2 linked regions of the Arabidopsis thaliana genome follow. The protein of the gene in region 1 interacts with the protein of each later gene in a pairwise test. Each region holds a gene or a part of one and is shown in the gene's direction. Other genes may lie near its edges.

Region 1 (3,726 bases):
ACAATGAGTGGGAGCGTAGTTTTCCAATGGGGAGAGGGAGACAACAACCAACTGACGCTGCTGATGAACCAAGACAATTTCAAACACAGGCATGTTTAATATTCATTGGACGTTTTTTTGTCTTAATTTGTGCATCGACATTGTTGATAAGTACTTAGTTGGCGTTTTTTTCCAAATCTTTCTATGAGTTGTTAATAGGCTCGTAAGTGGGGCGTCTTGGGATGTTTTATATGACGACGTATTGAGTAGTCGGTGCCAAAGGAACGAGGAGTCGTGGTTTGCTATTTCTATCAGAATGGTGCATGGAACACGCACGACTTCGCTTTCAACATCCAATAGAGTTACAAAGAAACATTGGGCAGCGTCCGAATATAACTATCTATAATAAATAATCTCATATATTGATGCTGTAAATAGATCTCTCTAATTTATTTACCTTGTTAAGATTCAGGGAAACCTATTTCCTGGGTCACTCTAGTGTAAGAACATTATTGCATCAGATATATCTTCTATCTAAATAAATAAGAGTTGGTTTTCTGAATGTTGAAATTCTACAACAAAGAATAACTTCTTCAATGCTCTTATATGCAACTTTCTCTTCTTTGGCTTTCGCACAAACTTTTGAAATATAAGACGTGATTGTGCGTGCGGCTGATTTCAAACCCTTATCATTCTCTCTATTTGAATGTACTAACAAGCATTCTACCGAACAGTTGATATGCAAAAAGGTCTGGTCTTTATACCTGTCAAATCCGCACCATACTCAGCCACATCTAAAACATGTAATTGATTCTCTTGATGAACAAAGAACACATCATGACAGGATTGAACATATAGCCCAGTTAATATTATAAAGTAATAATAACGTTTTTAAACTATAATCTTGTAGTAGAACTCTATAACTATGTTACATAAATAGTCAAATTTGATTTAAGTTTTCCCTTTTTAGATATGAATCATTTTCATTTCGATAGTTTTATAAATGTTAAAATACAATACTCCAAGTCATTAATAATAAATTTGAATTTAGGTATATCATTTGTATAAGTAAATTCATCTATTGTCTTTGTATTTTATTGTCTAATTTATTTTCGAAAAAAATCTAAATATTTAAATTTCGAGTTTAAGACTACAACACTTATAACATTTAAACACACAAATTTTATTTAGACAAAATTATCTCAACTCATCCCTTTCAAATTTTTTAACAATTAAAACAATTTTCTTTATAAGTTAATATCACTATAAATTAATAAAAGATTATGGTCTTAAAGTTATTAATCTATAGAGTTTTTTTTTTACTGTATTGGGAGTGTTGTCCAATTATGAGTTTAATCCAACTTTTATAAAATTAAATTTACAATTCTAAGAAATTAATCAAAATATTTATAATTGGATAAAGTATTTGTTGACATTTAGTATTTTATTATTATAATAATAAAGCTAATTAATATTGGATATAGACATATAGTGTATATTTCTGCATTCAGATATAATACTATGAATACATAATCTTATGAATATTCATGATTTCATAAATTACATCTAATATATTTTTATTTCCAAATCCATAGAAATGTCATAAAGTTACTTTATAATAAAATTGAGTAATTTTACATTTCTTATAATGGTGAAATTTGTGTTGCATTTTCCTTTCATTGATTGTTACTTTTCCTTCTTCTTATTTTTGGGGGCAATTTGTTGGTTATAAAAATTCTCTCTAAGAACCTCATCAGCGAATCATTGAAATAAAAGAAGACAAAAGTATCAAACTTAACTACATAAGTTCTCACTTTGATTTATCTCTGATTATGAACAGCTTACCTTTGCATCTCCTCGACCAAATTCTTTTCAGATTGGAACCCAAATCTCTGGCGATGATGAAATCCACAAATAGAACTATCAATTCGCATATATCTGACCCGCTTTTTGAATCCGAATACTTTTCCCGGTTAGAATCCAGTTTGTATAACCTTTCCCCCGGTGGCGCCAGATACGTCATGTGCCAGCCTTTAGTCTCTTCATGCAAATCTATGTCAATGGGGGAAAAAGCAATTCAAGGTAATTTCCGATGTTACATGTTGGGGTCATGCTCTGGCCTTCTCCTACTGTACATCGGTGGCCTCTTCGTCGCAAATCCCCTCACAAAGAGGTTTCGATATTTGGATCCTTCTGGCTCAAAGTTTATACCTACGCTAAGTGGTGATCGCTGGATTTATTTGGCACATCCGGAGAGAGCGATGTGCGTTGGTTTTGCGGTTGATCGAAAGAGATTCAAGATCGTCTGCATACTTGAGATGGAGACGAGGTATGAATTCGAAATCAACGACGGCGATTCATGGAGATTATCAAAAACGACTATCAATGCTGACTCAAAAAGTGATCTCACCAAGTGGATGAAACCTGTTTACTTGGAAGGCACTCTTCATTGGTTGAGAAACGACGGGAGCATCATAGCTTTCAATCCCGAGACAGAGCAAGCACGCTTGATTCCTTCCGGTTTTCATCAGGAAGTACCGGATATGAAACTGTTACTTGCGGCAGATGATAAGATCAATCGCTTGACCTTAATATCAGGGACAAAACAAACAATCTCAGTTTACACATTACTCGGGAATCTCAAATGGGGTCTCGCTAGGCGGATCAAGAACGTATCTCTGAAAGAAAATGAGTTGAATGCTGGAACATGGTTGTGTACGATGGCAAGCGTCTTCTGGTGAGGGAGAAGAAAAAGAATCGTTTAAATGGTGTAGTTCATGTGTACGACATGGAAACTAACAGTTGGGGAGTTTTAGGGTCGATCATATATACGGCCGGTGCAGTCTGGGACTTCTATAAGTTTACGCCGTCCTGATGTCCTGTTGAGGAGGGTGAGCAAAATTATAAAGCGATAGTAGATTGTAATGAACATCGCGTCTTCTATCTAATTTCTATTATGAGACTCGTTAATACAACCAAGTAACAGTGAGTTACGTTTTTCATTGTTTCACCTTAATTCATTTATTCCTCGAATGGCTTAGGTTATAGTCTTTTTGTGGACCGTGTTAGTTACTTTGTCCAAAAGCACTGAGAGTACTTCGTATTTTTGTGATGACATGTTTTCCGATATCTTCTCTTTGTTCTAATGTTCTTAACATTAATTGGTGTGTTCGGTTACTTGTTTGGCAAGGAACAAACTTTGTAAGTCCGAATGCTTTGAAAAAATAATACAAAAAATGTTTTTTTTGCTATACGAGTATGAATTTAACCCCCACTATATCTGATTTCACGATTTGAAAAATTCTCTTAACATATATATTCAATCACACAACTCAAAAACCTCCCGTTTCATTTCAGTTTCTCTCCGACTTGTAAAAATTGTTCCACATACATATGACTCCTCCGATCCATCACTCAGTGAGCAAAAAATAAAGCTAGACCAAAAGTGGAACAATTTATAAACGTTGAAACGCTACGTCTTCCATTTGACTTTACTATAGCACATTGTGCTACTAGAAACCAGTTTTGGCGAGATAGCTGAAGCTTGTATAAAATGCAACACAAGCTTGTATTACGCAAAACTTACATTCTTTCAAAAACAAATATGGGGATCGTCGCATTCCAATGGGGAGAGGGAGAAAACACACTGACGCTGCTGCAAAACAGAGACAATTGGGATTCATGGCAAGTTTCATTTATTCAACCTTGGTTTAATTTTGTGCATTGTTTCGTTGATGAGTGATTTTG
Region 2 (4,511 bases), on another chromosome or scaffold:
CAAACACCTTTAAAGAAAATGCACCGATTTGAAAAATACCAAAGGAATAACATCTTGGTAAATGTTATTATTAAAAGGCATTAACATCAAAGATGTAAAAACATAATGCCATGCAAATACATAGTTTTCAATTTTTCTTGATATATAGTCTTATATTAGTCCTTTTTTATTCCCTTAAAAATCATATAGTGTTATCAAAAAAGTTCTAAACGTTAATATACAGATAATCATGTAACGGTTATAAATAAATAAAAACTCAATTAACCGTACGTAAATAAATGAGGCTTCTGGTTCAATGTACTATATGATGATGATTTGCAAAAAAGCGTGTGAGTCTCTTCCACCTCAAATTCAGGACATAAATCTGATTATTGTTATTATTTTTTGGTTCAATTTTGGATTTGAGATTATCCATAAACTTTTTGGTGTATAAACATAGCATTGCTTACAGTAGTTACAACTAGATTATATACTAGAATAAAATATTAGTAATATTTTGGAAAAAAGAAAAAAAAATGCATGAATGTGAGGATTATTAAAATGTGCATAGAAAGAGGACTTTCCATTTAAAGCGAAGCTTTTAGATCGATACTTGCAGCAAAGCTAACCGTTCTCTTCCCCTTTTTAGGTTTCTAGATGATTACTATTGCTTCGTTTCTTTTGTCTCTTATCTTCTTCCTTCTGCTTAAACAATTTATTTTACTATATACAAATGTACCACCTCCTAGGTTCTAAACGATAGACTACACGTGTGAATCAAACCCTCTTACCATTTGGAAATGTTTTTTGCTTAACCGGTTGTCCAGAGCAGTTATTTAGGTGGAACCAATTTTCTATGTGTTGCTTCTTTTTACAGCTGATTTGTTATGAAAAAACATTTCACTTTTAAAACATGTAAAATAAAACATTACAAACGATACATATTTCATTTTTGTTGCTTTAATTTTCACCTTTTTAATGGATTAGGTTAGACAATAAGCAGATATGCTTATGGTAATGCCATGGACCATAGTTTGGACCAAAAAGGCCTACATTATATTATGGGCCTTTATGAAGTCCATTAGTTTCGTTCATAAAAAGACAATTTAATCTGAAGTCCCACATTTTTAAAAATGTTTAATTTTAATCTTTCAGCAAGAAAAAGAAAAGGGCAAATGGTTTTGCTATGCAAGTGAAAAAAATATTGAAAAGAAAGAAATTTTTGAAAGAAAAGTAATACTTAGTAAGAGTTAGAAAAGTAAGAGATTAATGATTAATCAAAGGCGTTAATTGCTGTCAAAAGTAGCAAATTACTGCGTAAAGAGTTGTCTAATTAAGACTAGGAGTTCAGCAATATTGCAGTACTCTTAACCAAAGATTTAATATTGAGTAATCTATTCGTTAGTTGAGGATGAAAGTTGAATTTTGATAGGTACTAGTGAAAACACCTTTATTCGATGATACCAATAATTGGGTTTTAAGATAACAATAGTTGATATTATAATGGATTTCACTCAAATGAAAACACATTTCTTTCTCTAAATAGTAAATACCTTCTTTTCTTTTTTGTTAAAGATTCACTAATATTTTTTTAGTTTTATATATCCTAATGAAAATAGATAATGTGTAACTCTAATAATAGCCATATCACATCATAGCCATTAGTGATTATTCCAATGTTAGAATAAAAACAACAACAAAAATCAGTGAGGGGATTAACCAGAAATACTAATTTTTAAAAGGAGTAATAATGGGTTAATAATTGGCCACTCTCATTACAGAACAGAACTCATAGCCGTCGTCGTCGTCTCTGTCGTTCTTATTTCAAAAAAAAAAAAAAAAAAAAGAGACAAAGAAAAAGTAAAGAGAAGTGCGCTCTCTCTTACTCTCATCGATTTTACAAAATATCAGCCATCTCCAAATTACAGAGTTCTTTCTCAAACCCAGGTTATCATTTTCCAAAGTTTGAAGGTTTGTTGTCTTTGATTTTTAAAATCTTCCTTTTCTGTATAATCTGTAGTCTGCTTTCACCGACACTTGGTTATCTTCCTCGAATTCTTCCTGGGTTTGTTTATTTTGGTTTCTCCATCAATGAATCTTTTGCTGTCTAAATTTCTTCTGTGATTATAAGAGCTCAAAACAGCTGTTACGAGTCTGAATCTAGTGTTTTGTCTTAAATATTGCGTTAGTTTAATTTATATGCATCCTCAAATACTGTTGTTTCCATTTTGTCTCAGGTGTGTTCCTGTCCCTGCAGAGATGGCTTGGTACTTATGAATGTGTTTATACTAATCACTAAACTCGGGGATTTTGGCTGTATAATCAAGAATTTCATTTATTAAGTAAGATTACAATCATTAACTTAGCCTTCCACAGTGTTTACAAGTTACAAAAAGACGACTTTGGTTTCAACTGAAATCATTCTTCAAGTCTCTTCCTTTTGGCAGCATTGTTTGGCCTTGAAGGCGGTGAGGATAAACCAGAGCTCAAAACGGGTGCACTCTGTTGTATTGTGGCCTCAAGGCCACTGGTTACAACAAAATCTTCACCCCACAGCGGAAGGGATATTCCTCAATCAAGTCAAGCTGAAGCCTTGCAATGGCGGACAAATTTCAGCTTCTCACCTGCTGCTGGCTATACTAGAGATGGTTTGGAACAGGATATGAGTGATGAGAGTCCCGCTTTTGCATTGCACTCGGGCAGCAGTAGACAAAGAAAAAGTTTGGAATTCAGATTTCAGCAGTCGCCAAGATGGGCTCCATACTCATCTGCTTCTGATGGGAACGAACAGAAAACCTCCTTGGTTAATAATAGTCTAACAAGACCAAATAGCTCAAATCCTCAATGCTTAAACGAGGTAATTTTGGTCTTCTTTACATATCAAGTCATTAATCTTCAAGATGGGCTTTTCTTGGTTTCATCTTTGGCTGAACCTTGTCGCTCTTTGATGTAATTACGGCTCAGGAGAACGGTTTTGATAGAGACAGTACCGCCATCTCAACGAGTTTCAGATCGTTGCTGTCTCTTTCAGAGTCATCTGTCCCATGGGAGACTCCGACCAACAATCAGTCTTCCAGCCTTACTCACTGCTCTTACCCTCGAGTCTTCTGCAACCCGGTTTCAGTTTGTGAGAATCCTGAACCTGATCATACGCAAGAAGACTCGTCCACAAATCCTGGTTCCAGTATCATGATGTCCACAAGAAACCACCAAGGCTCACCAGTAGAGGAAGAAGTATCACCAAACTCGAGCAGCAATGACATGTTGCTAGATGTTGAAAGATCCAATGACACAGAAGTCGCAAACCCGAGATCTGAACAAGGTTCAATGACACATCAAAGATGCGGGATTTGCAAGAAGCTTTTATCTCAGAAATCTCCATGGAGCTCATACAAGATATTGAGATCCAGAGACATGCCAGCCACTGGTGTTTTCCCCTGCCATCACGTCTACCATGTTGAGTGTTTAGACAAAGCAACCCCAACAGCTCAAACCAGAGACCCGTCTTGTCCTGTTTGCTCAAACACCATTGGAGTAATGGAACAGCCACTGATAGCACCTGAAACATTGCAAATGGCTCTAAGATCTCTCAGAAGAAGCCGCACAGCTCTAGAATTAGAGACAGTAAGAGTCCCTTCCAATGACAATCAAAGAAGACACAATACCAGAAGAAGCCATAAATGGGACAAACTCAGCTGCTGTTTGAATATAAGCTTCTCATCTTCTTCCTAGAAATCCAACATGACCCGATTAAATTAGGTTCTTTGAACTTTTACTTGGATCTAATCGATAGTTATAACACAAAAGAAAGAATCTTTTCAAACTTATAGTTTCTCGAGTGTCTGGGAAACTATAGACAGAAGCAGTACGCATTTTAGTTAACTTGTAATCCAAAATCTATATTTCAGGCTACAAAGAAACTCTAGTTAACTAGGAACAACAAGCCTTACACACGAATTAAGTTTTCTTCTAGTTGATAAGAACAAAACAAAACAAAAACAGAAAACCAAAACCATAATCCACAAATTCGAATCGAACAAAAACAAAAAGCTAGAAGAAGAAACCTTAAATAATCAAAATCTAAAATTTTCAAAAACACATAAATATTTGGTTGGGTGGGTGTTAAAGCTCGCAATAGCCATCACAGCGCCGAGTAAAATCGTGCGCTCAGGCAGCAAGCAGTCTTCATCGCTGAAAACAATGGGAAATTAACGATAAAAGGAATCGAAACCTTTCCGTCACCGGAGCCGCCAGCCAAGGATATTGGGGTTGCTCATTGGCCCGAAAAGGCCGAAACCCTAACGATAAATCACTTTTTCTCAGCTCAGATAAGATCAAGTAGTTTTGAAGATTTGATTGATTTGGTTGCTCGAGTTTTATAGCCTTTGGTCAAAAACCCTAATTCACTAAATCTCATCTTGAAATTCCAAAATTACCCTCGTATATATATAACGAAACAGAGCCAAAATTGTTCGAATATTATAAAGAAACCCCACAGCTTCTGAAACAACAAAACTAATCCTTTCATCACT

What was found.
Region 2: the proteins of AT1G20360 (region 1) and AT5G18260 interact in a protein complementation assay, tested with the Arabidopsis thaliana proteins (one large-scale study listed by BioGRID).

What each region holds. Positions count from the first base shown.
Region 1 is NC_003070.9:7,045,761-7,049,486, reverse strand, and holds AT1G20360 (F-box family protein), read left to right. Parts: upstream 1-1,742; 5' UTR 1,743-1,811; coding exon 1,812-2,720; 3' UTR 2,721-2,983; downstream 2,984-3,726.
Region 2 is NC_003076.8:6,035,426-6,039,936, reverse strand, and holds AT5G18260 (RING/U-box superfamily protein), read left to right. Parts: upstream 1-1,830; 5' UTR 1,831-1,950; intron 1,951-2,216; 5' UTR 2,217-2,321; exon of another isoform or gene 2,322-2,426; 5' UTR 2,427-2,641; coding exon 2,642-2,836; exon of another isoform or gene 2,837-2,943; coding exon 2,944-3,711; 3' UTR 3,712-3,735; downstream 3,736-4,511.